Linked DNA regions of Diceros bicornis minor. The protein of the gene in region 1 interacts with the protein of each later gene in a pairwise test. Links are inferred from orthologs where the notes say so. Each region holds a gene or a part of one and is shown on either strand. Other genes may lie near its edges.

What was found.
Region 2: the proteins of SGTB (region 1) and SERPINI2 interact in binary tests that used the Homo sapiens proteins (3 or more experiments, as listed by UniProt). The two-hybrid records come from large-scale screens. The link is inferred for Diceros bicornis minor from reciprocal best matches to the Homo sapiens genes SGTB and SERPINI2.
Region 3: the proteins of SGTB (region 1) and SERPINE1 interact in binary tests that used the Homo sapiens proteins (3 or more experiments, as listed by UniProt). The two-hybrid records come from large-scale screens. The link is inferred for Diceros bicornis minor from reciprocal best matches to the Homo sapiens genes SGTB and SERPINE1.
Region 4: the proteins of SGTB (region 1) and RAI2 interact in binary tests that used the Homo sapiens proteins (3 or more experiments, as listed by UniProt). The link is inferred for Diceros bicornis minor from reciprocal best matches to the Homo sapiens genes SGTB and RAI2.

The regions. Positions count from the first base shown.
Region 1 is NC_080759.1:11,269,026-11,277,046, forward strand, and holds the start of SGTB (small glutamine-rich tetratricopeptide repeat-containing protein beta), read left to right. Parts: upstream 1-4,621; 5' UTR 4,622-4,912; intron 4,913-4,977; exon of another isoform or gene 4,978-5,296; intron 5,297-5,939; 5' UTR 5,940-5,961; coding exon 5,962-6,061; intron 6,062-8,021. Other genes in the region: NLN (neurolysin, mitochondrial), read right to left, coding at 4,040-4,197. UniProt on the Homo sapiens protein: Co-chaperone that binds directly to HSC70 and HSP70 and regulates their ATPase activity.
Region 2 is NC_080754.1:54,092,765-54,100,437, forward strand, and holds the start of SERPINI2 (serpin I2), read left to right. Parts: upstream 1-4,533; 5' UTR 4,534-4,547; intron 4,548-5,987; 5' UTR 5,988-5,997; coding exon 5,998-6,244; intron 6,245-7,673.
Region 3 is NC_080765.1:4,808,318-4,816,034, reverse strand, and holds the start of SERPINE1 (plasminogen activator inhibitor 1), read left to right. Parts: upstream 1-4,586; 5' UTR 4,587-4,770; intron 4,771-5,431; 5' UTR 5,432-5,432; coding exon 5,433-5,703; intron 5,704-6,342; coding exon 6,343-6,576; intron 6,577-7,116; coding exon 7,117-7,311; intron 7,312-7,717. UniProt on the Homo sapiens protein: Serine protease inhibitor. Inhibits TMPRSS7. Is a primary inhibitor of tissue-type plasminogen activator (PLAT) and urokinase-type plasminogen activator (PLAU).
Region 4 is NC_080781.1:14,749,511-14,757,901, reverse strand, and holds the start of RAI2 (retinoic acid-induced protein 2), read left to right. Parts: upstream 1-5,054; 5' UTR 5,055-5,163; intron 5,164-8,391.

The DNA.
Region 1 (8,021 bases):
ATGAACTCTCAAGTATCAGAGAAAATGGGAAAAATACGTGAAGAGAGCACAGAGTGCCTTCCATGTTGTCTAGTATTGACTTCTTTTGGAGGATACAGATTTTGAAACAAAGATTCTGTGACTAAGTCACTCACAAGTGCCCCAGGTTAATGACTACTACTACTGTATATGTTGATTTACCATAATATATGCCCTTAAGTAACAAAATAGTTGATATATTTATGGTAGACTGCCAGCTTCTAGCAAGGTAATAATTATATGGCTTTACACATTTATTTTCTTCAATGCATAAACAAAGAATCTGAATAACACATATCAGTGATTCTCAAAATGTGGTCTGCAATCCTTGGGGGTGGTAGTATGGGGAGGGGTCCTTGAGACCATTTCAAGAAGTCTGTGAGGTTAAAAGTATTTCATAATAATACTAAGACATTATTTACCCTTTCCCTTGGTTGACATTTGCACTGATGGTGAAAAGCAATGGTAGATAAAATTGTTGGCACCTTAGAACAAACAAAGGTAGTAGCAGCAAATCGTCCTAGCAGTCAGTATATTCTTCATTGCCACACCCTCATGATGAAAATAATGTCAATTCCACTTTAGGATGTCCTTGATGATACAGTAAAAATTATTAATTTTATTAAATCTCAATCACTGAATATATATACGTAGCAAAGTGTCCATAACGCACTTGTGCTGCACTTCTGAGTACAATGGTTGTCCGGAGGATCTGGTTGTCCAAATCAAAAGCACTTGTGCAACTGACTGAACTGTGAGCTGAAATAGCTCCTTTTTTCATGAAACATCATTTGTACTTGAAAAAAACGACTGAAAAACTATGGTTATTCAGACTCAACTATTTGGCAGAAACTCTCTCAAAAATGCTACAAAATGAGCATGTCATTTCAAGAAAAACAACTGGTAGTATCTGTTACCAAAGATAAAATTTCAGCTTTCAAATGACAATTCAAATTTTGAAAAACTGTGGCTTCTATCTTGAGCTTGCCAGCTTCCTAATACTTGAAGACTTTTATGATGAGATGGATGATGATATTAAGGAATATGATTGTTTGATATTGTATAATGAAATGTGTCAAAATTAGGAAGATCTGTATAACACAGTGAACCAGGATTTTCCAAATGACCATTGTTTAATATTACAAGATCACGCATGGGTAAAAGATCCATTCAAAGTGTAAGACAAACCCATGAATTTAAATGTAACAAAGCAAGAAAAGTACATTGATACTTTCACATTCCACACTGCAACTAACCTTTAAAAAAGAAACACATGTCAAACTTTCATGCGCTATCAAAGAATATCCATGATTACCTTAAAAAAAAAAAGCTCTTAAAGGGGCCGGCCCAGTGGTGTAGTGGTTCAGTTAGTGCACTCTGCTTCGGTGGCCCGGGGTTCACGGGTTTGGATCCTGGGCACGGACCTACATACTGCTCATCAAGCCATGCTATGGCGGTGTCTTATATACAAAAGGGAGGCAGTTTGGCACAGATGTTAGCTCAGGGACAATCTTCCTCAAGCAAAAAAAAAAAGAGGAAGAGGGGCCGGCCTGGTGGCGCAAGCGGTTAAGTGCGTGCGCTCCGCTGCGGCGGCCCGGGGTTCGCTGGTTCGGATCCCGGGCGCGCACCGACGCACTGCTTGGCAAGCCATGCTGTGGCGGCGTCCCATATAAAGTGGAGGAAGATGGGCACAGATGTTAGCCCAGGGCCGTCTTCCTCAGCAAAAAAAGAGGAGGATTGGTGGATGTTAGCACAGGGCTGATCTCACACAAAAAAAAAAAAACAAAAAAAAGAGGAAGATTGGCAACAGATGTTAGCTCAGGGCCAATCTTCCTCACACACACACACACACACACACAAGCTGTTGAAATACTCCTCCTTTTCCAACTACATATGAGTGAGAGGTGAGATTTTCTTCATCTTAAATCAAAACAAAACACTGCAACAGATTAAATGCAGAAGCAGACGTAAGAATCCAGCTATCTTATATGAGGTCACACATTTGTTGTGCAAAAGTGCAAAACAATGTCACTCCTAGGAGTTCTTATAAAAAACCAAAAACAGAAAACAAGTGTTGGTAAAGATGTGGAGAAATTGGAATCCTTGTGCACTGCTGATGGGAATGTAAAATGTTACAGCTGCTGTGGAAAACAGTATGGTGGTTCCTCAAAAAATTAAATATTGAATTACCATATGATCCAGCAATTCTACTTCTAGGTATATATCCCCCAAAATTGAAAGCAGATACTCAAACAGATAGGTGCACACTAATGATCATGGTAGCACTATTCAAAAGAGCCAAAAGGTGGAAACAATCCAAATATCCATGGATGAATAAATGGACAAACAAAATGCAGTATATCCATACAATGGAATATTATTCAGCCCTAAAAAGGACGGAAATTCTAACACATGCTACAACATGGATAAATCTTAAAAACACTATGCTAAGTGAAATAAGCCAGTCACAAAAGAACAAATATTGCATGATTCTACTTGTATGAGGTACCTAAAATAGTCAAATTCATAGAGACAGAAGAAATAGTGGTTACCAGGGACTGGGAGAGGGGATAATGAGGAGTTATTATTATTATTACTTTTTTTTGTGAGGAAGATTGGCCCTGAGCTAGCATCTGTGCCAATCTTCCTCTATTTTGTATATGGGACACCGCCACAGCACAGCTTGACGAGTGGTGGGCAGGTCCGTGCCCGGTATCTGAACCTGTGAACCCCAGGCCCCTGAAGCGGAGCTCGCAAACTTATCCACTATGCTACCCAGGCAGCCCGAGGAGTTATTTTTTAATGTGTACAGAGTTTCAGTTTGGGGTGACGAAATTTCAAGTTCTGCAGATGGATAATGTGAATGTACTTAATGCCACTAAACTGTGCACTTAAAAATGATTAAAATGGTAAATTTTATATGTATATTTTACCACAATAAAAAAAAGCTGGAAAAAAATACATTGCCAGTCTTCTCACTAATTTTTTTGGAGGAGTTTGGAAAATAGTTATTTCATTAAAATGTTATTTATGCATGTAATGAGCTTATTACTGTTTTTAAAATAAACTAATACTTAAAAAATTTCCTAGTTTTCATTTCTAATATGGTAAATATGGAGAGAATAACCCCCATAACAGAAGGTCTTAGGTCCTCAGTAATTTTTGAGAGGTAAAGGGATCTTGAGACTAAAAAGTTTGAGAATTGCTGTCATATGAAATTTATTTTCTCTTCTCACATCTGCTTTATGTGAAGATCTTCCTTCATTGGTATAGCTTCATTTGACAGCTACACCACTTGCAGCCTGCAGACTAAAAGGACAGCCTCAAACATGGTCAAAATCATCACATTAACTCCTTATAATTACTATTGTCCCCAGATGCACCATAACCATAACGATTGAGCAACACAAAGCCCCACACAGATGCGCGGCAATGCACAATAGAAAACTGTTAGAAAGCTTAAACGCTGATACATTCCAAAGTGGTTTCATAAGTGTCTAGCAAGAAACACACATTTCCTTTTTTCTTTTGGAGCTTCATTCGGATTTACAATTCAAGGTTAGATTTGGGAATGGGGGTGGTGGCGGTACTGTTTCTGAAAACCACTCCTTCCAGGGCATCCGTGCAAAGAATTTAATTCTCTCCCCATCTTGCTACTGGTCTGTTGCAGAAGGGTGTGGTTAGGGAGCCAGGAAGCAATCCACAACAGCAGCTGAGCCTCCCAAAGCCGTGTCCAAGCAGTAATTTCCTCCATTTTGGGCCAAGTTAATTTGCCCCGGCAAGAGGCCGAATGTTTTATGCGGAGGAGGTAAATAAAAAGGAAGTTAGAAAGCACGGACGGAAATAAGCGGGAAACCCATAGCGGTTTCACCTTGTGTGGATGTTACACGATTTGTACGCTAATGATGTGCGTGAGGGGCAAATGAGAATTGTTACTCCCGAGTCTACAGCTGCGGCACTTTTAACGACAAGTCTGCAGCTCTGGATGGGGGCGAAAGTCGAATGATTTTCTTATCTGGACCATCTTTCTGCATTCCTTTTGGGTCGGGCCTGTGACCCGTCTCGCTGACTGCAGCTGAGGCAGCGCCAAACAAAGGGGAACGGATGCTCTCCCGAGGGAGCGGAGGAGGGAGAGGCGGCCCCAAGTCCCCGCGCCAGGTGTCCCTCAGGGCAGGCCATGCGGGCCGCGGGGAGGGCGGGTCCCAGGAGCGGCGCCGGGGCGCGGTCGGGAAAGCTGGGCCGGGCGACTGGCAGTACCGGGCAGAAGACCCCGCCGTGCCCCCGGCCAAGGTTAACCCGCGCACGGGGGTACCTGTGGAGGCCTCGCACAGCCGAGAGGCACCGGGCGATCATGGGAGCGCAGAGAGGCGGCGGCGGCGGCGGCGGGCGCGTCGCCCTCGCTTCGCGGGTGGGGGGGGCGCGGCGCCCGGGCGCCGCGAGGCGGCCTGGCGGAGGAGGCGACAGCGGCGGCCTGCCCGCGCCCTCCCACGTGCGGCAGCCCCACGCCGGCGCCCCCTTCAGCCCCGCCCCGGCCCGCGCGGCTGGCGCCGCCCCGGGGGCGGTGCCGGCGAGACCCAGGCGCCGCGAGCCAAGCGCACAGCCGGGTGGGCTGAGGGGCGGCGGCGGCGGCCAGGGAGCCGGGCAAGTTTGGGTGACCGTGGCAGTGCTGCGATCGGGAGCCAGGCTCCAGCCCTGAGGACCAGTGGGCGGTTGGACCGGCTTACGGACGCCCGCGGGCCCGCTGCCACCGTCTCGCGTCCTCCTGTCTGGTAAGGGGCTTCTGTCTGGAAAGGGTGCGTCTCCCGCCGCCCCAGACGGGGCCTGCACCGTGCACCCGCAACAATACCCGTCAGGGCCGAGGCGAGGCCCGGGCACCAAAAGGAGGGACAAGGAGGTCGGTGCTCTCTGGGGAGAAGGGGAGGGAGAAGCCTGGAGGAGGTTGGACATCTCCATGTCCTCTCCGCACGCCTTTTCCCCCCATTCTTTTTTCACCTTCTGCCCTGAGGCCTTATTTAGTACTTGCTACCCCATGGCCTAGGGGCTGGGCTCGCCTTTAAAATAAGCAAACAAATAATAAACATCCCAGCGGCGGGTACCACACCCTGGCTTTGATTTAGGGAACCTGAGGAGCAGATGGATGATGCGATGTAGTGGGAATAAGCCATTAATGCCGGCTGGCCCTGCGCCACTGTTTGGATGCGATAGTATTCCATGTGAATGAACAGGACCCGGCGCTTCCAGCTCCTCCACGAGAGCACGGCTACTGCAGAGAGCGCTGGTCGGTTTGTAGTATCCATCGACTTAGGCAGTGATTTCCTGACGTGTCTGTTGATTTAATAGAAATGCCATTTTTATTAAGAATGACACTCAGTGGTTGAACAACCTTTCATTAATATATTTCATCAAATAACTGTCTCAGCCTGCAAAAGTAGGTGGAGTGTAAATTATGCATACATTTTTTTAAAAATCTCATGAAATAGAGGAAGGTATTCAGCGTGGATCCGCTTCTGAGTCAGCAGTATGAAGTCTCCCTTAACTTAGTACTGAGGCCTTTTGGGGATTTCTGCATCTGTACCTCGATCCCTATCCTTATCTGTATTTGTACTATATATACTGTTAAGATAGAGTGAGATAGTCGGAGAGTTTAAGCTTATGTTGTTTTGTACATGTTTTGAGAAAATTTTTACTTTTGCAAGTTGTAACGTAATCTAATACTACTGGGTATAAATGAAAATATGTCATACATTACCATAACAATACTTGGTGCTCTCCGGACTCTTTAAAAAGAGAATGGAGTGAAGGTAATACAGGTTTTTGTTTTTGCTTTTTCCTTTTAATGTAATTTATAACTTGTTATTTATAACCTTCCTGACTGATGCTTTAAAATAACTTAATTCAGTGTTTTCCTTTTTCTTATCAAGGAAAAGTGTTTAAGCTTTTAAAATGTCATCTATCAAGCACCTAGTTTATGCAGTTATTCGTTTCTTACGAGAACAAAGTCAGATGGATGCTTACACTTCGGATGAACAAGAAAGTTTGGAAGGTAGGCACCTGTTCTTTATGTTCATTTGTGTTATAAAGACTAAAATAGCTATAAACCTGACTTTATGGTCTATTATAATAAAATCAGAAGATTTTGTTGATCTTTCAAAAAGAGAGACCTACCTGTAAGATTATCGTGTTTCCATTCTCTGAGGCTTGTTTTGTTTGTTTTAATTAACAAGATAAGAGGGCTATTGTTCATTTATTGAGCAACTATTATGTGTCAGAACTATGCTGTTCATATTGTAGGGAATTTTTTCTTCACAATGACTGTTAAGTTAGAATTATCCCCATTTAATAGATAAGAAAATGAAACTAGATAAAGTAACATAACACAGCTAATATGTGGCGAAGCTGAGATTTAAATCCTGGTTCTTACTCTGAAGGTGTTGTTGTCTCTTATTCCAATAGGAAAGCATCCAGTTTAGAATCAATATATAAAAATACCTTAGTCATTATAAAAGCACTATGTAAAAGTCTAATAATTATATCACTATTAAGCTCTGACAACTTCCTATTGGGGGACTTGAAATGAGAGGATTTCACCCTTGTTTTATGCATGCTTTAAATGTTAGACCCGATAATCTGTAGAGTTGAGCAGGACTTGGACGATCACATCGTGTGTTTCCTTGACACCATCTTTTCTGCCTCATGTTTATGCATTATAAAATTTAAATTCAGTATAACCATAACAAGATAGAATTCTGCAGATGGGCTTGTGGAGGTTCAATGAGCCTAGCTTCCTTGTGGCCTAAAGACTTAATTATTGCAATGGGACAGTGCATTTGGGGGGAATTTAATGAATAACAGTACAGTTCCCATCTTGAAGCTGTTTCTCCTATAAGGGGGACACATCTATTAATTTCAACAAGCACTTCCCTTGTGAATATGCTTTTTAGGGAGTGGGGATGAAAATTGGGCATTTGCTCTAAATCTGCTTGCAGTCTGGTGAGATGATGTCGTTCCAGGTGGCAGGGAGAGGAGCAGGTGACACACAGTTGGAGAACATTGCAATCAGTCCATTTAATATTAAGGTCTTTTGTCCTCCTTGATGGTTAGACTACGTGAAGATAAAGGTGACTGGTTATCTAAGGAAAATGTTGGTTATAGTTGCTCTATAGCAAACAGATAAATGCAATCATTTAATAAAAGATGTTTCTTTTCTAACCAAAGGCAGTCTAATACTTTTCAGGGCTAAAAAGAAAATTGAGAGTTTTTGAAAAACCAAGATGTTATGTCCTATTTTTAGGATTTTTAGAATACCAATTCAGCCAAAAATATGTGCCTTCAGCTGTTTGTTATATATGGCAGTCAGCAATGGTGCCTATTGTTTTTGACCAACCCCTATTTTTGACTCTGTGAGTCTAATTTAATTGACTATGAAATCGTGTGGAGATGTCTGCCCACCTTCTAGACGTTTAAAAAAGCCCTAGGAAAGGAGCCTAAGTTCTAGTCCCAGCTTTACCATCGTGGTGAAGCTGTGTGTATTATCAGCTTTAAGCCTTGTCGTCAGATTATGTCACCCACTCCTCCTAATTGTTGTCATCTACTGACATCTGCTTCGTGTTTTGACTATTGTGGCTCCTGCTCACTCTCGCTTTCTCTAGCAGTTCTCGTTGCCTTAATTCTTGGCAATGTCTAGAGATATTTTTGATTGTCACGACTGGTGGCTGATATTACTGGCATCTAGTGGGTAGAGGCAATGGATGCTGCTAAACATACTTCAGTGCACAGAATGGCCCCCAACAACAGAGAGGTATCTAGTCCAAAATGTCAGTACTGCTGAGGTTGAGAAACTCTTCCTTAGACCTGGTCATTACCCAAACTGCATTCCCTCCATAATCTCTATCTTAAACATTTCACTTCCTGACCACTACTGCCTGTCTTTCCAGCTGACTCCCTCTAGAATCCCTACCCCAACAATTCTTTGACCTTACCAATACCTTCAATATGTTGATCCC
Region 2 (7,673 bases), on another chromosome or scaffold:
GAATTGCTTCCTAATACCTGGTAAAACATGAAAAGTTTTCTCAAAGGGAAAACATGAAAGTTTTCCCTTTCCTTCCCATCTTCACCTCCCATCCTGGTGCAGAGATGTTGGCAGCAGTCCTGCTGCATGGCTATGAGAGGAAGAAGGGAGAGCTGAGAGAAGACCCACCAGAGATATGCTTACTGGACCTAAGAGTATGGGAGGGATTAGTGGGAGGGGGAATTAGAGGATGGGAAGGCAGAGGGGGTGAGTGGGGGAGATGACCAGCATGGATGGGAGTTTGGTTATGTTGAGCAAATAAGTATTGAATAAACAAATGAATAAATCAGTAAATATATTGAAGACAATGAGAACCAGGTATCTCACTGTTGTAGAGGTACTTATAAAATTTGCAAAAGGGAAAACTAGAGAGAACCCTGAGATTTTGGATTGGGATTAGAGATATCAGTGTGAACTCATGGTTTCAGATAGGTAGATAGATTGGAACGTTTAGGAGTGACAGAAAATTATGTTTACAGTTTTCTCTTGAATAATTCAGAAAATACTAATTATAATGTATGTATATATATGTATACACACACAAGTATACCACATATATGTATCTACACACACGTATATAATATATATGTGTGTATACATATATATAGATAGATAGAAAGGAGAAAGAGAGATTAGATAAACAGAAAGAGCACACGTGCGCTGAAATGTTAACAACTGGGGAAGCTGAGAAAGAAGGAGAGAGGGAAATGGTAGTTCTTTGTATTACATCAACAACTTTTCTGTAAATTTAAAAATATTTCAAAGTAAATTATTTTTAAAAATTGAAAAAGATGACCTCGGGACAAAGGATTCCTTGAGATGTTCAAGCAGAAGCTGAGTGGCTCTCTCACAGGGATATTGCAGAGAATTCTTGCACTGGTTGGGAGGTTTGATTGGACAATCCATCATTTCGAACTTAGAGAATATGATTTATGAATCATAGATTGGTGACAGTACAATGGAGTGAAATTTGAGCCACATTTCCAGAAATTTAAAGGAATATTAAGATGTTAAAGAGATGTTATATGAGTACTGAATATTTTGTGAAGTCTCTTTTCCCCATCCATCCGTCCATCCATCCATCCAATTATTGAAGGCATATGCAAGGGACTGTTTTAGACACTAGGTGTACACATATAAATAAAATACACCTCCTCTGCCATCAGCTTACTGGAGTGAAAGCACATAAAATGCAGTGATTTATTAAGCAAACGTTGAATGATCTCACTAGTTTTGCTGGTATAATTTGGAAATTCTTTTACTAGACATATTTTACTTTTTTTTTACCCCTAGAGATGACTTCGTTTGAAGTGATTAGTCTGAAATAGTCTGGCTCATATAGACAGACCTTCTCTCTATAGCATGTGACATGTGCGAGGCAGTATGCTGTGTGTGACCCTAATCCCATCCCTAATTAACTTCAGGGTCTCTTCTGTGAAAGGAATTAAGAGGAGCTGTCTCACAAGTATATTTAATGAGAATAGAGCTTTTAAAGGTATGAAAGTCTCTTTTTAGGTTACTGTTCCAAATAATTTGGAACAAAAACACACGCAAAGGAAAAAAAATGAAAAGATATTTAGCTATTGTGTCTTGCTCTTCTTTTACATCTTACAGCATCCAATTGTGCTAGGCAGGTAGCAGGGTCTCACCTGTCAAATGTTGATAGGACTGAAGACTTTATAAGCTATTTCTGAAATTAACATTTAGGTTCAATTATTTAAGATACATTTTTCTACAGTGAAAGGAACTTGTCATATTAAAATAGGATGTGCCGTAATTTTCTATAAGCTACTTTGTTTGCAGTATGTAGATTTACACTAAATATAATTTAACCTGTTCTCTTTTCAGAACATTTTCCTCTTATCACTCAAAATATATGGAGCAAACTGACAGAGGAAAAAATGCCTGAAGTTAATCCGTGGTCAAATGAAAGAATTAACTTTTAAGTCCTTATTAATGAGAACATTTACTTGTATGTTTGTAAAGTTTGGAATTGAATACATTTTTACCTTTATAAAAACACTGTAAAATGCTAAGAAACATAATAAAATTGAACTTGTAACCCCTTGCTATTATTTTTGTGCATATTCCCAGGTTTATTTTTTTACAGTGAGGGTAGTGATGGTGCTCAAATTTATACAGAGACACTTTGGCTCTCACTAATGAATAATTATTTTCCTGATGCTCTAGGGGCAAAGTAGAGGGTTAGAAGGAACAGATTTGTGAAAATATTTAAGAGGTTTGCGGTAATATTTTATGGACAATTGTGGTATCTTTATTGTCTATTAAAAGAGCCTAAATCAGGGAGGAGAAATTCATGGCCATTGCTTTTTCCTCCCCAAGAGACAGGAAAATGTACATTCTGCTTGACCTGCTCTGACATAAGGTCCTCACAGAACAACTTCATTAAAGGATCTTACTAAGACAGAGTGTTCATCTCTGTCATTGGAAGGAAGAGTAATGGCCTGTTCCTGGGTAATCACATTATGATCTGAGTCATGTACAGACATAATAATTTGGTAGCCAAGGGGACTTGTGATGGATGTTTGCTGGTGTCACTACATGGGTAGGAAAACATTGATTGAATGATAGTCTCGGACATTCGGATTTATTATTTATGAATTGCAGGGTACAACAAGAATGCTAGTGTTCTTGTGTTGCATAACTTTGTTTTTGGAAAATTATCTCTCACAGTGTTAAGTTAAAAGCTGGAAGAGGGTTTGCTTATGTTAGAATAAGTAATATTAGACTATAACCCTGGTTGTAGAAAACATTTAGAGATGCCTAGATGGGCAATTAAGAATTTTGGCAAATTAGATTGTGGCTTATAACAGTCATTAGGCTTCTCAGGTCTGTCATTAAGCTATAGTCCCATTAGGACACTGAAAGAGGTTAACAGGATCCTTGAAAAAGTTGTTTTAAATGAATTCCTTTTAAAGGTATCTACATTCGTCTTATTTCTTTTTCATGAATTTATCAGAAATAATATTACATTTAGTGATCAATGGTAGAATTTGTTTAATTGCAACTGGACCAAATTTTCCATTTATCCTCTCAGAGGCCACTGATGAATAATACCATGTGTTTAATATCTGATTGCCTTTGAGGCGATTGATTTGAACTAGAAGAATGAGATCAAAACCCATTCAGTTGTGCATCCATGTTTTATTAATGATCTGTTTGTAGAGAAAAATCATGTAGAAATTTAAAAGCACAAAAAAGTAACACCAATGTTTATTATCAAATTACCTATGTTTAATAGTATTACCTTGATATAATGTGGTAAATCAATAATCTTAATTTGGTCTTCTTGTTCAATGTAGAGAATATATTTCTTCTACATCTACTCTTTCTCCTAAGGATTCAAATGGGCCTTGTATCCACAGGAAATTCCTCTGACCGTTGTATAATTTGATGAATTGTTGAGAACTCTGTAAATGCAGCGGTAATTTGTCTCTGCATTCTTGACTTGATTTAGCTTTATTCTTTTTCTCACAGGGCATTCTGAAATACTTATGATAGAGGACATTGGTAATCTGATGTGGGAGTCCTGTGAGGAAAAAAAAGAAATAATTATTAGCAAATTTACAAGCACTGACACAGTCTTCCAAATTCTGTTTCTACTAGTTATAAAAGAAGTGGAATAATGGATGAAATAATAGTATAAACTTAATGATTTTTAAAAATTCTGTTATTGTCTTCTCTCAATTCTTGCATATTTCATCATTGATCATTCGCCTGATCGTGGTAGTCTTTTTATACAAATACAGTGAACACCTGCTTTGATTTTAGAGGAATTAATCAAACAATGTTCAAGGTAAGTAGAGTTGGCCTTGACTGACCAGGTGTCTCATGTACTAGTGTTTCCCAGCAGGCACATTTTCGCTATAACATTACAGTGAATAGTCAGAAGTCAATTTTGGGTAAGTACCTTAAAACCGAATAGCTTTTGAATGAAGTATGTATGCAATAACATTGACCGTGAGTGTGTAATGGAGTAGAGGAATGGCATTTCAATTCACTTTGGTACAGATACTATCTAAATTTATCAAATTAACACATTAGTTTTATTCTCCTTAAAAGATGTCACTATAAATTTGAAGCTCGAATTCTTATAGGACTATTCATCAGGTTGTTTAAGTCACCAGTATTTTGTGCTTTCTGATGAGATACGATCCAAAACCCAATGAGGTAAGTGAATTTTTAGAACCAATTTTTTGTGCGAGCTTGTAATTTATTTAAGTGCCTAGAAATTTTCCGGGAGAAATGGATGCTCAAAAAATGTAAATTTTAATTGTTAAGATTGTTAACAATAATGAGAGGATAACTCCCAGATTCTACTATAAGGGAAAAAGTTATATCTTTCATAATATTGTGTATTATTGTAGTATAAACTAAGTACATACAGATAGGCCTAATGAATTGCCACTTGATGACGTAAAAGTACTAATAACATTTTGACTACTTGTATATCTACAAACTGATATTTTGGTCAGAAATCTTCTGAGATATCGAATATATTAGAAAATTATACACAGAAATTTATTTTGCATGTAAAACTTCTCTTACTCACTAGCTTTTACTGTTGTTGCACTGCCACTCACAACCTTATGTACTCATTTAATCCTTGATAAAACATTTGCTTGATAGCATACCTCTATATTTGCAGTTTACCAAAACATTGCTTTCTAAAATTGTTTTGGATTGCATTTTGAGGTCTTTTTCCTTTCCAAATTGTATATCTAAACAAAGAAAGTTTAACTACATATGTTAGAAAATAATTTGAAACATCTAGATAATGACTCCACAGATTAGTTTTGGAGAATATTTGACTGTTAGTAATCTTTATATATAAAAGTGATTCTCAGTGACTCTTAACCCTCTGAAGAAATAGACTTCATTTCTTTAAGGCTAACAATACATTATTCTGGAGGCTTTCTTCTTTACCCCCAATGAAGGGTTACTTCCTAGTAACTTATTAAACTAGGAGTTATTAAGGGTCACTAAAATGTATTATTTGTAAGGTAAAATCAGTGTTACTAAAATTTGTGAGGCCTTCAGAGTCAGTATTCCATCAAGTCTGTGGTAATATTGCAGAATGGTAAACTCATCCTGTTCAAGATGTAATCAGATGGTTGAATTTCCTGCAATTTTAGTGGAGAGCACTTTAATAGGGTGTCATTAGTATTGCTGTGAATTGGTTATAGTTTTCAATTGCCGCTTTCTTATATTTGTTAATTTGTTTGTCAAATTATTGTTCAATTTTTTTAAAAATTGCTTTCTTTTGTTATTATTGTACCATTTATATTTGATTGCCGTTTTGTTTCTTTATAATTTTTCTGAAGTTTTTTTTTCCCTCCCTTTGGAAAAGTACAAGGCGGGTTTTGGGGTATTTCACCCTACAGAAGTGGGATTTCATAAAGTGTGAGAATCCGTGCTGTAAAAAGTTAGCCAGATTACTCAATTGATTTAGAATATATTAACTGACTAATATTATAGGTCCAAGACCACACTGTAGTGTGTTCAGTTTTATTCCATTTTTCCTTTTGATCTATATTTTAGAATAGTCTGGACAGAGGATTCCCTTGATATCAAAGTTACAAGTATCCCATTTAAAACCATGGGAAAAGATAGGAAAAAGTGTCATATAGCTATTTAGAGATAGTATTGCTATCTATAATGTTCCAGAATTATAATTTATCCTTGATTTTAAGAAACCGCAATATATTTTGGACTAGTTCTTGAAGTCATATAAACAATACCATTAGCACATGGCCTATTTCTCCCAGTAGATGATGCTTATTCTGAAAATTGGCATTAGAATCTTCTTGTGGTAGTTTGTCCTAACAAGACAGAAAGTTCTAGCAGGTAAAAAGTTTTCTGTTGAGCTTAATATGGTAAACTCTGATTATTTTGAAAACTAATAAATTTTGAATCAAACAATGCACAGATGTCAAAATGGATAAGATCTTATTGTGGAGTTTCCTATTGACTTTTTCTGGAAGTCAAGCCTCAAGACCCTGGGCTCAAAGAAATGCTGAATTTGCAGTGGATCTTTATCAAGCTATTTGTTTATCTCATAAGGACAACGTTATATTTTCCCCCCTTGGAACAACTTTGGTTCTTGAAATGATACAACTGGGAGCAAAAGGAAAAGCACAACAACAGATAAGACAAACTTTAAAATTTCAGGAAACCTCAACTGGTGAGATTCTTACATATGACTTTCTATACTGGATAAGATCTGGTCAAATTTATTTTTTAAATATTAGAGAGAAGCTTACGGTCATAGAACTTTAATAAATGAAAAATACTGTGGAAAGTATACAATTATAATAAAATGGAGAATTGTAAATGTAAATAATATTCATTCATTTATAATTGTTTCCTAATGAAAATGTTACCAAAATAATTTAAGAAATTAATTCCATGCAGATATAAAATTGTATGTCTGTGTATTTTCTTCTGGCCTGTTTTAGCGAGTTTTAATTAACTGTGATTATGTTGTGCATGCATGTGTGTGTGTATGCATATACATATTCACATATGTATACATATACACACATAAATGTGCTTCCACCATCACTTACTATGTTGTGATCATTGTCTCATATCATGCAACTGCTTCAAAATATAATCTTTATTTTTTGTGAGGAAGATCAGCCCTGAGCTAACATCCAACGCCAATCCTCCTCTTTTTTTGCTGAGGAAGATTGGCCCTGGGTTAATATCTGTGCCCATCTTCCTCTACTTTATATGGGATGCCGCCACAGCATGGCTTGACAAGTGGTGCGTCTGTGCGCACCCGGGATCCAAACCTGTGAAACCGGGGCCGCCGCAGTGGAGCACGCTCACTTAACAGCTGTGCCACCAGGCCAGCCCCCAAAATATAATTTTTAATTGCTGCATTTTATTGCCTCTTATAGAAATGCCATTATTTACTTAACCCTTCTTCATGAGGTTGTTTTCAACATTTCTCTTATAAAAATACTTCAGTAAGCACCCTCACCGAGAAATCTTTGTGTGCATCTCTCATATTTTGTTAGTCTTTTAAAATTAGTTTTCTAATTAAAATTTAAATTTTTCACTTAAATGAGATCAAGGAAAAGCATTAATTTATACATTTTAAAAGCTTACTTGGTTAATAGTTTTTAAAGATTTGGGGGAAAAAAAAGCAATTACATAACGCATCAGAGGCCTTTTTGCGTGTGGCTGGTTGTTTTGGAGTCTCCCAAAGGCCTGAGATACTATGTAGAAGCTTCAGTGCTGGTGTCCCATTCGAAGGGGTGTTTGCCCATCTACCTAGCTATACTGGTTCTCAATTTCCATAATGACTTTAATATTAAACTTTTATGTTACTGTCAGATAATGGGTACGAAACATCAGAGGAGACATGCAGATTTTTGATTTAGCGATTTAGTTCGCTATAACTATATAATATCTATCTAATTTATCTATCTATATATCTAATAGATATATTAGATATAATATATATATCTAATAGATATATTAGATATAATATATATATCTAATAGATATATTAGATATAATATATCTAATAGATATATTAGATATAATATATCTATTAGATATATATATATATAACTATCTAATTTCAATATGTTTGCCTTAGC
Region 3 (7,717 bases), on another chromosome or scaffold:
TAAAGGGAGATTCAGGAATGTAGAGAATGAGGAACAAGTTCTGCTAAAGAGGAAAGAAGTGAATCAGAGTTAGACAATCCACATACGCGGGTAAAGAGAAGTGGACCACATACGCGGGTAAAGAGAAGTGGAAGGAGAAAGAGAAGCCAGACAGCGTGCCCCGGGGGTGCCCTGCAGGCCTGTGCCGCCTCATTCTGGCTGACACCATCAGGCTCTGTGGTCACATCTACCCCAGAAATCGCACACTCCACCCTTCCCTGACCATCAGACTTCCCTTTGTGGCCACACTGGGCCACATTCGCTCCCTCTGCCTCTTTCCTCCAATAGAGGAGGCTCATTCTTGCCTGGGTGCCATGCGGGTCTTCGGTGCTCATTGAACTCTGACATTATGAAAGGCCTCCCGAGGGGATACCATCCCCTTATCTCCCCCTGGGAAATAAGGGTAAATGAGACATGGTGCTGGATGGCCCACTAAGTTTAAGCATAAGTACAGAAATGACTAAGACAAGGGATGTGCATAAAAGTGGTTCAAGTGTGATGAGGTTTTATAGGGGAATCAACAAGAGCTAGGAGAGGTGAGTGGCCGAGAATGGGTCAAGAGGGCTGAGACTGAAGAGCAGGTCAAGTAAAACAAACCCCCTGCTTCCTGGTATGCTGGAGGGATCAAGACACATATCGAATGTCGGTGGGGTCCATTCTGGGACTGTCTGGGTTCCTCTCCTGGCTTTGCCCCAACCAAGAGTGGCTGCCATTTAGTGAGAGCCTAGAATATGCCAGACATTTACAGACAATATTTCATTTAATCCTCACAACAACCCTGAAGGATGGAAACCATCATCTACCTATCTGTAAATTCCTATCTAAAAATAACACTGGGGCTCACGAAGGTTACGTTTTGCCTAAAGACACATAACCATCTACGTGTCAGACCCCTGACCAGGCTGGTCTGTCTGCTCTAATGAGCACTGTTCTCCCATTTATGGTATGTCACCGTGTGTCCTTAGACACATCACGTAGCCTCTCTGGACCTCAGGGCCCTCACCTGCAAATTCAAAGGACTGGATTAAATGGTTCTTAGAGCCTTTCTGCTCTGAAACTCTATGATATAATTGCAGAAAAAAGCCACTGTGGACAAGCGGGCTACGTCGGGGGATGCAGGTTTTAGTGTTATAGGAGTTGAAGGAGAGGTGGCTGGCGAGGGCTGGAGAAGGCAGAAGAGAGGGGTTACGGAGGCAGAGGAGGGGGAAGTCAGGATGGCGCCATGTGAGGAAGGACCCTGCGCAGGCTGTCCCAGAGCCATGATCTTAAACAAGAGGAGGCTACGACTCAGAACACTCTCCCCAGCTCACTCTTAAGAGGGACAGAGCCCGTCCAGCCCAAATACAGGCTATTTTTGGTGTTGTGTTGTTTGGAGAGTAACCAGGCCAGAAATAGTGCTGTGAGTGAGCAGGACCCTGTCCTTCTCCCACCCCCGGCTCTCCCAGTGAAATCACCCAGAATCAAGAGGCCTGCTCCAACATTCCAGGAGCCTGTGTAACTGATAGCAGGCGGCACTCTCTTCCCACAGGAAGCCTTGGAGCAGAGCATTTGACTGTAAAAGGGTTTCTGGAAGAAGAGAGGAGAGGGAAAGAGGGATTGAGTCATAGAGAGCGGAAAAGAGAGAGAATGAGAAAACAGGGAAAGAGCTCACGTGGCCACGACTAGGGAGCGGCAGGGAAGGAGTGTGAGATGACCCGGAGACCGAGGGCTGCACAGAAGAGATCCAGAGGAGGGAGTCGCAGAGAAAGGGAGAGTGAAACAGAGAGCGGTGGCTGTTGCTGGAGAGCAACGGAGAAGCAAGGAGGAAGAGCAGAGGGCAAGAGGGCAGCTGGAGGGCAGGAAGTGAAGGGCTGGAGGCCACGCCGAGACCCAAAAGGAACCAGGGTTACGGGGCTGCAGGCAGGGGTGGGGGACAGTCACGGAAAGCGTGAGTCTGGTCTAGTCACGAACCACCTGCGGAGGGGCAGATGGAAACATCTTTCCCAGTTGGCTCCAACTGGAACTTCCCCCAGAAATCCACAGCCCTGTAACTCATCCTCTTATCTCTGACGCTCCCAGAATCAGAGATCCAGCTATTTCAACACCAGGGACTTTTCTCTTTCTGTCCATTTGACCCCTTACAAAAGAGCCCAGGCTTGAAAGAGGTGATTGGGTCAAGGCTGTTAGTTTGGGGTTCAGGGGAAGGAGGGAAAGTGACAGCCCCTGAGTCAGGCCAGCTTCTGAGAAGGGTGTTACAGGAGGTCTGCTGGAGGGCAGCAGGCCATCGGCCTGCACCCTGGTGTGTGGGAGGTCTCCAGAGGGCAGACAAGGTAGAGGCAAGGCCATTTCACGGAAAGGAGGGGCAGGGGCCGCAGTCAAGTCTGAGTTTTGATCATCTAGTGGCCCCAGCTCATCAGAAAGTCAGAGGGAGAGTCAGAAACCCCAGTGAAGGCCCCAGTTACACTAGGCTGTGCCTCAGTGTCTAATACACACCCACCAGATGCCTACAGGTCCCCTCCAGTTTGGGAAAAGACCCCTTAGTAAGTCAGCCCTTCTGTTTCCAAAGTAAAGCACACCTCCCTCTCCCCAACAGGACACAGAGCCCTCCCGTGCCCGGGAACTGAGCGTCCTTTCTGGAACGGCCTCAGGATCATCCATGAGGTCCAGGAGCGGGGATGGAATTGGTCACCGCCCTGGCAGGGCCCAGGACATCCAGAGAAAACAGCAGAGGCTTTTACAGCTGAGGCCTGGCAAGGAGAGGGACAGCGGCTCCTGGAATAGCCATGGAGGAAGGGAAGGAGGCTCCGCTGAAGTGGCTGGAGAGGTCCGCAGCAGGGCGCCTCGAGGGAGTCGATTCTGGCCGCATCTCCACCCGCTGCTTTTTCAACTCGGGGCTGGGCTCTCCCAACCTGGACTCCCAGGTCCCTATCCCCTTCTGACTCCCAAGGGTGGCGGGCAAGGCACTGGGGGATTTCTGGGCGTAGGAGATGGTTGGGGGCTGCACTCGGTCCTGTCCGCCTGAGACAGGTCAGGGTCAGCGCCTCCTCCCCACAGCTAACATTCTCAGGGACTCCAAACCACAACTAGGAAAGGGAAAAGGACATAAACAAGAAGAGTCACATGGGAACAGTGACTTACCCCCGTAAGGGTCGGTGATCTTAACTTTCCAACCCAGGTCTCCCCCTCTTTCCCTGCCACCCCGCATCCCCACCTGACTCCCAGGGGCAACCGAGAAAACAAAGGCAGAGGCAGAGTAAAATCGGGACAGCCATCCAGCTGTGGTTGCCCTTGGTATCTGTTTACTGAAAATATCCAAAACAAATATCCCGACACTTCCACCCACTTAAACATCCTGTGACTCTGCCCTCGGCTGTCTCCATGGATACTCCCAGCCTAGCCCCCCCCACCGACACAGAGCGTGACAGTGTGTGGACCCCCAGGTCAAGTGCACCATCTCCCCCCCTCCACCACTGCAGGACTCCTCTGGCACCACCCCAGTCACCCCTCGGTCCACAACATCCTGGCCTCATGGCCAAGGGTGCCCGAGCTCACCAAGCCCCGAAATGCACTAGACTGGTCCTACGCACTCACCTCTAGCTGATTTCCACCCTCTATAGAATTCTTGGGTCATTCTTCCCCCCTAACCAATGCCCTAGAAGCATATCCCACAAACCCGCCACGAACTGAGGCCCTCACTTCTATCCCTACTCCCTCTGCTCCAGCCCTCCAAGTACCTGTGTCCGGAGGAAAAGGATAAGGCATAGTTCTCCCCATCACAGCTTGCAGCTCAAAAAAATGCAACTTACACATGGGCCTCCGATTGCTTGCCAAAGCTTTGCCCTGCTAACCCCAGTCCCTTTCAGCCTCCACCACCCCAGGCAGCACACCTCAAACCCCAGCCAGACAGGGCTGTTGACATAAAACAGAGGCCTGGGGGCACCTCAAGAGTCTGGACACGTCGGGGAGTCAGCCCTGCATCACCTGAGGACTGGCAGGCACTCGGCAGGGAAGAGGGAAAGACGGAAGGGAGTCCTCTGCCAGGATCATGTCCTAGACAGTCTAACCCAGACACCCACATGGCACGCTCCCTGTCCTCTGGCTGCTGGGACATGGCCAAGAGGAGGGAGGGGTGTTCTTCCCAGGGTGGCTGTCACACAGGATAGACGGCGCTGGCGGAAAAAAGTCCACAAGATCGTTCGTGTCTTTGATAACTCTGTGGTGATCTGTTTCCTCAAAGGAAAAGGAGAAAATGTGAACCGTTCTTCCCCAAGCTGAGCACTGGGGAAGGTAATTCCAGACATTGGGCATTTTTGGCCGTCTGGTGCTGCCGGGGGTCAAGCTGGCATAACAGAGAGGGACACAGGCAGAGGGCGGTGAAATCAGGGAAGGCCCCTGGGTGAAGACAATGGGGGTTTGCCCAATTGTCCCTGAGCCCTCTCACACGTACACACAGAGCAGCACGCACACACACGCCACAGCAAGTCTGCGGAGGGAGGGAGGTGCTGAGGGGCCCGGCCGGCTGTTCAGACTTCTAGAGCCAGAAAGTGGGTGGGGCTGAACCATGAGTTCATCTATTTCCTGCTCACATCTGGTATAAAAGGAGGCTGCAGCCTCCTGAGGAGCACAGCTGCTCCTGGCTGCAGGCCCCAGAGCACTGTCGGGAGCCACAGCTACTCCTCCAGCAGCCAGATCGCCACAATCGTCCCAGCAGCAGGACAGACCTCCAGTCACAAGGCACCTTGAGAACTTCAGGTAAGAGAAGAGCAAACTCTCTCCACCTCTTGGCTCAGGTTAAGGTGGAGAGCACCTCTCCCCAGCATCTCCTCCACCCTAGATCCCCACTTTTCCTCTGTTTCCCCACCCCTACTGGAGACCTGCAGCCTCGAGTTGTCTCGGCCTTAGGAATGATCAGAGGGGAGCCGGGAAGGAGGTCAGGCCCCACCAACAACCCCGCCACCAGAAACAAGGGCCTCGACCGTCCCGTCCCTCTCCATCAAGATGCTCCCCCCTTTCCCGCCTCAGGAAAGGGGTTTTTCAGGCCTGCTAACTTGAATGAAACAACAGTTGTGAAAGCATTATAAGAGAATTTAAGCATCATGCAAACCAGAGATGTTATTATAATTTAGCCTTTCAGCCTCCTGGAGGGGAAGGGAGATGTACAGGAGGGTGGTGCCAGCAGTTTCCAAGATTCCCACAGGTGACAACGGGCTTAAGATGCCCTGGGGCTGAGACAGAGGGGAAAAGGCTCAGAATCTGAACCCATCGTGGTTTCTTACTGAATCTTGTCCTCGAGTTCATTTATCACCCGCCAGCAGCAGGGGAGCCTGGCCCGTGGCTGGGGTGCCATCTCCCCTCCCCACTCACCAGTCTTCCAGAACTATTCCCTCACGAGTTCCTTTTTCACTTGCTCCAGGATGGGGATGTCTCCAGTCTTTGCCTGCCTAGCCCTGGGCCTAACCCTCATCTTTGGTGAGGGGTCTGCCTCGTACAACCGCCAGTCCCAGGTAGCCCAACTGGCCACAGACTTCGGAGTGAAGGTGTTTCAGCAGGTGGTGCAGGCCTCCAAGGACCGCAATGTGGTCTTCTCGCCCTATGGGGTGGCCTCGGTGCTGGCTATGTTGCAGCTGACAACGGGAGGAGAAACCCGGCAGCAGATCCAAGCAGCAATGCAATTCAAGCTTGAAGGTGAGAGACAGGGCAGAGTGGGAGGCGGTCAGACTTACAGGACAGGGGTGTAACCAACCAGAGGCAGGGGAAAGGCTGACTCCAGCTTAGCCAAGCCAACTCCTGTACCACCATGCCTTAGAGACCGCTACATCTCCTCCCCACCACACCCCATGTCACTGGGCTCCTGACCAGTCACAAGGTATACAGGCCAATGGATGTGGTGTAACACAGCCTTGCCTCACCACTTATTAACTGTGTAACCTTAGCTCCTCTGAACCTCAGTCTCCTCAGCTACAAAGTGGGGACAATCAAAGTACCTACCACAAGGGCTGCTGGAAGGATTAAATAGATTTATGCATGTGAAATCCTTAGCATACCTATTATTACTATAAGAAAAAGTTTAGGATTCATAACTTATAAACAGAGAAAAATATTCTAATCCAAAGAAAGGGTTAGGACCTGAGAGTTTTGAGGAAAAGAGGGAAAAGCAGAAGAGATTAAGGTTTGGAATGAAATCTCCCTCCAGAAACCCCTGAGGGAGCAGAAGAGTCCCATCCATGTGGGAGGGTTGGGCCTCTCATGGGGGAAGTTATCCCGGCTGGGAGCCCTTGGCTCAACACGAGCTTAATGTGTCTTTTCCTCCCCGTTTTGGCACAGAGAAGGGCATGGCCCCTGCCCTCCGCCAACTGTACAAGGAACTCATGGGCCCATGGAACAAGGACGAGATCAGCACCGCCGACGCCATCTTCGTCCAGCGGGATCTGAAGCTGGTCCAGGGCTTCATGCCCCACTTCTTCAGGCTGTTCCAGACCACAGTCAAGCAGGTGGACTTTTCAGAGGTGGAGAGAGCCAGGTTCATCGTCAATGACTGGGTGAAGAAACACACAAAAGGTGAGCAGGCAGGGAAAGCAGGCCCATCCCAAGGGCCTGCCGAGAAAGGGGACGTAAACACAAATTCTATGAATCCCAGGCTCTCCCCTTCAGCATTCTCTTTTCTGCAGACAGAAGGTCAAGTGCTTTAAGAATCCAACTGTCATGTTTTTCATAATCAGGCCTTCTCATGAGCCAACTCTAAAGACACCCCTAAAAAGTGTTGTGAGGTTTTATAACAGTAGTAACTATGACAAGGAGCACACACAATCCTTCAAGACTTACAGTTTAGAGAACAAAGGAACAGAAGATTGAAGTTTCTGGGTCTGATCCTGGACAAGATTCCAGGGCCAAGAAAGTATGCTGAGCTGGAAGGCTTTCTGAGACTCTTAGGAAGATGGAACAGGTTGAAAGCAGATCGATTGGTTCACGCAACCACTAGTCTGTCTTCCAACTGGATCCCTTCAACAGACACACATCCATTTGAGGACTGGGAGCTGAAGGGAACCATCTAGGGGATTAAAAAGTATCTAGCCTCCTGATCACCTGGCTTTCCCATAGGCATGATCAGTGACTTACTTGGCGAAGGGGCCGTGGACCAGCTGACGCGCCTGGTGCTGGTGAATGCCCTCTACTTCAACGGCCAGTGGAAGACGCCCTTCCCAGAGTCGGGCACCCACCACGGCCTTTTCCACAAGTCCGACGGCAGCACCGTCTCTGTGTCCATGATGGCTCAGACCAACAAGTTCAACTACGGTAAGTGCAAGACCCCTTCCCCAAGACTCACAACTACTGCACCTCAACCCCAGGATGTTCCCCTCTCAGGGAGGGAAACCCTAGAACACACCCCAGCTTTGACAGAACTTCCCAAGTAGGAGACTCTGGGACAGCTGGAGCAGCATAAAGTTGCATGCAGCCCATGAAAGATGAAGCTGAAATCCAGAAATTCCCTCAGGCTCACATTTGACCACCTGACCCCTGTCTCTCATCCTCAGGTGTTTCTAGTATGATGACCTGGGGTCCACAAACCCTGCTAGGGGAAGGGCTGTGTGGAAGTTGAGATTAAGGAGATGAGGATTGGAATGAATTAGTGGCTGGGAGTGGGGGAGAGGGGAGAGAAGGTAAAGAAGGACAGAAAGAGACAGAGAAACAAGAAGACATT
Region 4 (8,391 bases), on another chromosome or scaffold:
GGGGAGATAATCATGAATGTAACCATTCCGTACTGAAGGCCCAACACAAAGAGAACTGACGTAGATGCTGTGGGATGTGTGAGCCACGGGTCCCCCCTTGATGCTGACAGTCACGTCAGAAAGACAAGGCACAAGGGGGAACGGACTCCTGCTGCTACAAAGGATCTGAGTCCAGGGAGAAGGCAGAGCGGGTTCAAAGCCACTCAGACAGAGCAGTGAGCCAGCAGGAGATAGAAACAGACTCTCCCGACGCTGCGCACAGGAGTCTCAGCCGTTTGTGGGAGCAGGAGCGTGCCTCCACGGCGCTGCTGGAATGCAGAGCGCCCCGTGCACAGCTGGCCTTCCAGATTCAGCGGAACCGCGCGCTTCCAACACAGTCTAGTTTAGGTGATTTCCTTCACTCGTCCTTCAAGTCACATCAAAATATCCGTTCCTCACCTGCTTCTGCCCGCCACCTGTTTTCGTTAGATCTCTGCACTCCAGAACGGCCCTTACCCAATCTGTCAGACGTAGTATTTTATTGTAGTAAAATAAATGTAGTATTTTATTGTAGTAAAATAAAAACAAACCTGTATGTCTTAGGATGCTTTCAACTGCAACCAATGGAGACCTGACTCAAAGAAGCTTAACCTATTAAGCGGTGTAATAATTTCTGTAACAGGAAGTGCAAGTTCAGGTGGCTCCAGCCGGGGTGGGTTGTTCTAGCAGTTCAATAACATCCTCAGAGTTCTAGGTTCTTTCTCTGTATTTGTTGTTCTGCCTTGAGCATCAGCTCCCTCCTAGGCCTGGCTCCTAGCATCACAGTAACCATCCATCCTGGTTTTTGAGGAGGATCCAGTTTATGCCTTTTGCCCTAACATGATTAGTAATAGCACACCTTTTACCTTCAGTAGTGTCCCAGTTTAGATGATCAATTATGTGGTTACCTCCATCGTGTTTTTGCTGCCAGTTGCAAATGAGGTTACATTATCTTTATGTCCACTGGGAGAAGGAGGGATGATCTCCTGGAAGAGTAATAACTCACCCATAAAGCCTCTAGCATACCTCTCCTCTCATCTATTTGGTCCAAATTACAGCAGGAGGGATGCAACTTGCCTCAGATCAAACAGAGCCCATCCTAAAGCCAGGATCAAATTCTAAGGCACATGGTTTCATAGGAGAGGGATGGATGCCTGAACATTAGGGATCTATTAGGAAAGAGGAATGGGGAATGCAGCATGGAGCAGCCACAAACACAGCCCTTTATGATGAGCCTGCTTCTTTCTCTTGACAGTTTCTCAGAATCCTCTGAAATCAAATGCTTTCCTGATTGTGAGACTAGACAGAGCTACACCTGGACTAGGAGAGACTTCAGTGCAGGGCAGGGATGGTACTTTATTACTCTATGTGTTCTAGCATGCAGCTCACTACTGTAAAGTAATAGCTGTTCGGGATATGCTTGTTGATTGCCTAACTGAAGGACAAACTCACGTATCCTTTGATTCAGTCTGCTAAATTGGCAAAGATTTCATATGAACTCTATTGTGCCCTTTGGATAAAATCTGGGCATAATACAGTTCATATGACATCTCCAAATAAAGAATACTGAAACCACTATGCAGACTACATTAGAAGTTTCTGTTCTATTAAAATGGTCAAAACCTTTTCCTTACCCTGTGGGCTCTGAATATTCCTCAGGTAAAAATATCATTCTCACTGGACTATTTCTCTGAATGCTTTCCATCCTCTTTCCCCAAGCCTGGGTTTGATTTCAATCCTCTGTGCTTTAATCACCCCTTGCATTTTTGTTCAGCATTTATCCCTTTGCATCCCTGTCACCCGATTCATAAAGCCAGGCATAAGTCACCCTACTCCTGTTTCCTCCATCACTAAGTCCTGTTGATTCTATGTCCTGAGTACCACTTGACTCAAGTTCCTACCCTTTATCTCTGCTGGCACCACCCTGACTCAAACTCCAATCATAGCAACAGTGTCTCTCACCTGGTCTCCCTGCTGCCAATCTCACCCCCCTCCAATCAGCCCTTCACACCCACCACCAGAGTGATCCATTCCTCAATCCAAATCTTCCCTGGTCACTTCCTTGCTCAAAGTCGTTCAATGGCTCTCCATTGACTCCAAGAAAAAGCTCCTTTACAGGACAGACCAGGGACCTCAACTGACCCCTAGCTTGCTCCCCCCCACCCCACTATTCTTCACAACCTCTACTCCAGCCTCACAAAATATTTGCAGCCTCCAGAACATTCTTTGCATCTCAGCTTTGGTGCCTGCTGTTCCCCTCACTTGTAATGCCTTTCCCTTACTTTGAAAAACTCGTATTCATCTCTCAATGCTTACCTCTTGTCATCATCTCTATGCAATCTTTTCTGACTGCCCTCCTCCATGCCATTTCCTACCCGTTCCCAGTACAGGGCTAGGCCCACTCGTTCAGTGTTCACCCAGCCCAATTTATAACTCCTCATGTACCACATAGTGTCACATTGTATTATTAACAGTTTATTTACCAGCCTGTGAGCTCCTTGGGGTCAGCAACCATGTGTTAACCACCTCTCTAATGACAGTCCTTAGCTCAGTGACTGGCATACAGCAGGTGCTTAATAGATGTTCATTGGACAAATGAACGAATCATCCATCTGGCAAGTATGTGAAAACTAGATTATGAGGAGATGCTGTATTATAGAAGCAGGATATAGATAAAAGAATCAGATCTGAGATGGGAAATTTCCTGAGTCCTTATTTCAAGTCATCAAATATTAGAATTACAGATCTCAAAAATCACCCTGAGCAACCCTGGAAGATTGTTTTGGTTCTTTCCTACTGTTTGCACATGTCCTTTCTTCCTCTCGTTTTCTCAGGCATTCCTTTAACTGGATGAACACAGTTCTTCCATATTAATGTCCTATTTCTGTCCTAAAACATCTCCTCCCCCCCAATCCAGACCCTTTCTTTATGGACTCTTATTTTTCCCTTCTCTCTGCAACAGCAGCCATGATGAAAGTACAGAGGGGTGCCACAGTACATTTCTTTGGGAATGGGGGCCATGATGCCTGTTTATTATGCATTAATCTGAATCAATATAGTCTTTCCTGAAAACATAAGCACCTCAAAGGGCAGAAAATATGAATCACAACTGCCAGCGAGGATCAAACATTAACCCAGGGTTGTGATGAGGCCAACAAAAGAAATAGGCTAGTAATTGCCTTCCAGGATATCAATCCCTACCTTATACACACATACCCCCTCAACACACACAAAACCTTTATGGATCTTTCATCCATGAACTTGCCCAATTATAATTGCCCAGCTGTGTCTTTAGTTGTAGTCAGGCTAGGTCCTGGCAACTGAGACCTCACATACCTGATCCAAGGACTCAGAACAGTTATGGGATCTATAGAGGAAGTCTTGGGTTACTGAAATGGTTGAAGACACATTCGCAGACAAATATTTCCACAGGTAACATTAATTACTCGGAGCTGATTTAAAACCCCAAGAGCCTGATTGAAACAAGTAGGAACTGGAACTTTCTGTTGATATTCATTATTATCAATTTTTAAACTTGCACTGGGTGTCTTTCTGCCTCTGTATCAATTGAGTACTTCTAAATTTAACTCTTATTTTTCAAAAGAGGAAATTCAGTCTCAGGGAATGGTACCACCAGGGCTGACTTCTCCATTATGGCAGTAGGCCCTGTGCCTGGGGCCCATAATACTTGTAGGGGCCCACAGAAATGTTTTAATTTCTTTTAAAATCAGAAGAAAAAGTGATTTTTTAGGTCAAAGAAAATGTTCTAACGTATAATAGTAATATATTGGTCTTTACACCAATGCAATTGTAAAATGTAATTTTTACTATTTTTTTATAGAGGAAGGAGTCCGCAAAAGCAAAGTGCCCACGCAAGTCATAATGTGGCCCTAGTTTCTACCACATTGTGTTTGCAACACAACAAGGTTAGAACAGAACTTTTCAAACACAAGTTCAGGTTCCCATACTAATTATAAACTTGCCAGGCTGCTCTCTATGTATTTCACACTCTGTGGGGCCACCCCAACTTCTACAAGAGGGGAGTCATGGTTACTACTCACAGTGTGGGGACTGGAGGTTTGAAGATGCAAAGGATGGTTCGATTCAGACTGCTCTCTGCTCTGATTAAAGTAATTTCTGCTCTGCGGTTCTCTGTCAGATATCTTCATCCTGTTTTGATTACCAAAAAAAGAAAATCTTTACATCTTTAGGGATTAATTAAACCAATGTAGTTGCTTCCTTTGCTCTCTTAAAACACTTATAGGATTTAGCTTTTTTATTTTACTTTAAAATGATCAATGGTACTACTGATACCTATTATTTATTTACTGGTTTGCAACCGTATATTCATCATCTCTGTAACTCCAATTCTTAGCCCAGTGTCCGGCAAACACGCGGTGCTTAATAAATGTAAGTCACATTAATAAATAAATCACCTCTCGGGCAAGTATGTGGAAATGAGATGATGTCCGTGGACTAATTTTATGTTTAATAATCTCACACCTTGTGAGAAGGATCTTCGACCTGTGTCACAATTGGCATTTTAGGAGGTGATCGGTGGGCCCTTGCCACCTCTCCCGCCTCCATCAGCCAGCCACTTCCTCCCTCCTGGGCTCTGTTCTCTCCCCTCTTCATCCTGGGGTAAGGCATGGTCCCCAGTCCGTCAGGAGGCAGCAGGGTCCCCGTTCCGCTGGCCCTCCCCAGAGCCCCCCCCCCCCCGCCTCCCGCGTCCCGGGCGCCCCTTCTTCCTGCCACCCCGCGCCGCCCACAGCCACGCCCTCCCCGTGGGCGAGATCACCTGTCCCTCCTCAGCCACCGCCTCCTCGGGTACCCTTTCGCCCCCCTCCTGCTCCCCCTCCTCCGCCACCTCCCCCAAGCCCTCCCCTTCCCCGCCTCCTCCCACCCCTTGGTGTATATAGTAAAGGCCGGGCGCCGCACGCAGACACACACTCGTCCGGACACAGGCGCACACACGCTCACGCACAACCGGCAGCGGCGGCGGCGACAGCGGCTCAGTGACAGCGGCGACGGCGGCTCCCACCGCTGCGCACCCCCTTCAGGCGGCCGGCGGCGAGGCCAGACCGGAGAGTTCCCGCACCCGCGACCACCCCGCGGCTTCCTGGAGGCGGCGACCGCGATTGCGAGGTAGCGGCCGCGGCGCCCCCGTGCGGGCCGGGGTCCCCCCCCGCCCTCCCCGCGCGGACCTGCCACCGGGACGCAGGGGGCGCGCCGGGCTGGGCGCGCCTGGCGGGGCCCGGCGCCCGGGGAGGGGCCTGCTCCCGGGGGCAGGACGGCGCCCGGAGGCCGGGGCCAGCGGGGAGGGCCGGGCGGGGGCGGGGACGCGGGCCGAGGCCGCCACCCGTGCGGCGTCCCCGGGCCCCACTCCTGCTCCCGGCGCCGCGCACTGGCCGGCAGGGCCGGGGACGGCCGGGGAGGCGGCGCCGGCCAGCGGGGCGGGGGCCCCGAAGTGGGTTTCGGGCCGCAACCGGCGCTGGCACCAGGCGCAGAGGGCGGCGCGCGGCGGACTCCGCGCCCGGGCACCGCACCGAGCCGCCTCCGGCTCTGCCGCTCTGCCCCGGCCCGGAAAACCCGGCGCCTTCCAGGCCCTTCGAAAGATGGATTCTGTTGACGTATCTGGCAGCCCTGGCGAGCCGGGTGGAAAGTTGGGTTTTGCCAGATCGCACTGGGCTCGTCTTTGTGACGCTCGGCCAGCCCCGCATCATCCCGGAGCCGGGTGAGTGTGCGTCGGCGCCCCGGGAGCCCGCGTGCCCCCCAATGCCCAGCCCCGGGGTGGCCGCACCAGCTCGGGCTTTCTGCCATGTTAGGCACCGAGCAGCGTTCTCGCTGCATTTTTGCGTGCGTTTCAGCCGTGCCTTTTGCTGCGGAGAGAGTTCTTGCTTGTCTCCGCGTTGGCTTTTTCGGGGTTGGGGTTGTGCTCTGTGTGTTTGCTTGTTTGCTGTTTAAAGCCCGACTATTGTTCAGGATAAGCTCCGCCTGGGTGGGGAAATGGCATCCCACCACAGTTGCCGGCGAGGGGTAGAAATGTTGCCAAACAGCTGCTGCTTTGTGCTTCCCTATCAGAAGTCCCTGGAGGAGGTTTGGGGCACGACGGAGAGAGGGATAGGGCACGGAGGAAGAAGGTGGCTTTGGAGGAGCGAATTGTCATCCACCCCATGGCACGCAATCAGCCTCCCTTTCTGCCTGCCAAACTTTTATGAATATTCCTTTTGTGGCAGGGGAAAGCTTAATGAATTCAGCCCAGTTTTCCAGGGAAAAGCAACCCGGCTTTAACAATGGTTTGAGAACTTAATCAATGAGAAAGGCAGGGGGAGGAGGAGGAGGCGCTGACACCATATCGGGGATGTGGCTGCTTCTTGCAGAGTCAGGTAGGAGAGAGGTGGGCAGAGCAGGTCACAGCGCCCGGGTGGCCGCGTTCCCAGAACTGTCGGTGGCTCTTACCTGTGCCCGCTGGAGCCACCCTCCGTCGTACCCTCACCTCACCGTCTGCCCACAACTCGGTGATGGGGCTTGAGGGACGGCTTGTGGCAGTGCGCCGGCCGGCCCCCCTCATCTGGCGTTTTTAAGGATGTGTAAATATTTTGCTGAGGATAAGTGACATCAACAGAATGATATTCCGCAGAGCCCGAGTGTGCAGCGATGATAAATAGATACGACCAAACAAAGTTTTGATAACCGCGGATTCTCATGGCTCGCTCTGTTTCATTTGGGTCTTTGTTTTTGTTGGTTTAGCATTATCTCTCATCCTCTGGTGTGATCCCTTTATTTAGCTGATTCTTGGAAGCTTCTCTTTAGAACAGAGAGAAAAGCAGCCAGCAGGGAGAAAACAATTCTTAGCCTTACATGCAGCAGGCAAGGTTTTCTGTCCTTTTCCCAGGGAATCTTTCCCACTGTTTTCGAGATGTCTCTTTTCCTCCTTTTGAGTCGTTTGTTGATTGACCAAGAGACTTTTGATAACTTTGAAAATGTGCTGTGATGTGCCTTTGTTACAGTAGAGGGGTGGCTGAGTGGGAGGAGGACAGTGGGGAGGCTAGTGGGTGGGAGACACTCACCAGAGCAGCATTACGCCCCCACCCACTGTTTTGTCCTTGGTGTTTTCTTCTCAAAGGGGAACATGGGGAGCTGTGCCACTTTCAGAAGCTGGGGGTGGCCGGAAGGCACAGAATCATAAGCCCAGTGGCATCCCAATCTCTCTGCCCCTTAGAAGCCCAGAGAAGCCACCCACTCACCCCCAAACCCACCCCCACCCCTACACACAATATCCTGCGAATGGGCACTTGCACCTCATCCTGAAAGATGCCCACTAGAGGCATCCGCAAGGCAGCCCGGCACCGTGAGCCGAGTCAGACTGGAACTTGGGGTACTGGCTGCTTTGGCACCAGCCTCTGGGACCATTCAGCCACCCAGGGGGTCCTTTATTATGCAAAAAAGCCCCAGACCTCCAGCAGTGAGGTTTGGCCCTGGAAAACCTGCCCATCTCGGGAACGAATGAGAAAACAGCTTTTCAGGTGATGCCAGTTGCCAATGTGAGAACTTGGTTGGTGGGCAGTTGGGCAAGAACTGTGAAATAAATAAAAAGTCTTGTGGCCAGAAAACAGAGCCACTGAGACAGGGCCTCTGAAAGGCAAGAAAGAAAAGGCTGGGAGATGTGTGACGAGGTGTTGCTATGAGGGCTGTAGCACCAGGACACACATATAGCTCGAGCTATAATGACGCGAAAACTAGATAGGACCAGCCTCCCCAAATCCGTTTGACCTGGAATGGGGGTATTCTGTATGTGGAGATATCCATGTACAGTGTGCTCTGAATCTACAGTAGGAAAATAGCAAGTGTCTGTTCTCTGGCTCCTTCCCTAACCTTAGGTTTAGGGGAGGAGGGTAGTGGAGGGAAATAAACTGGGAAGGGGATTAACATTTGTTGTTGCCCTCTGTCTGCCAGACACTTCACATGTGGGAAACCATGATGCGATGTAGGCATTATTTTACAGATAAGGAATCTGAGGCTCAGAGAAATTTCCAGTCGCACGTCTGATTCCAGACTTTGGTGGTTATGATTTAAAGGGGCAACATGTTCCTCTCCCCCTCTCCCAAGTCTCTTGTTTGTTTCTCCCAAAGGCCGTCATCCTCAGCCCCTACCCATTCAGAAAATATGGTACCTAACTGGGGAGGAAAAGCCCACCAGTGAGGCAGCCCAGCTACCCAGGGTACATGCTTATGTGCCGAGCAGATAGTCCTAAATAGTCCCTAACTATTTCAGGTGGAAAGACTGTGCGTTTTCATCTTGGAATCCCCAATATCCAACCGTTGCTTAATAAATGAGAGTTGAATGACTAAATGATGGAGCTGATGGAGTGAT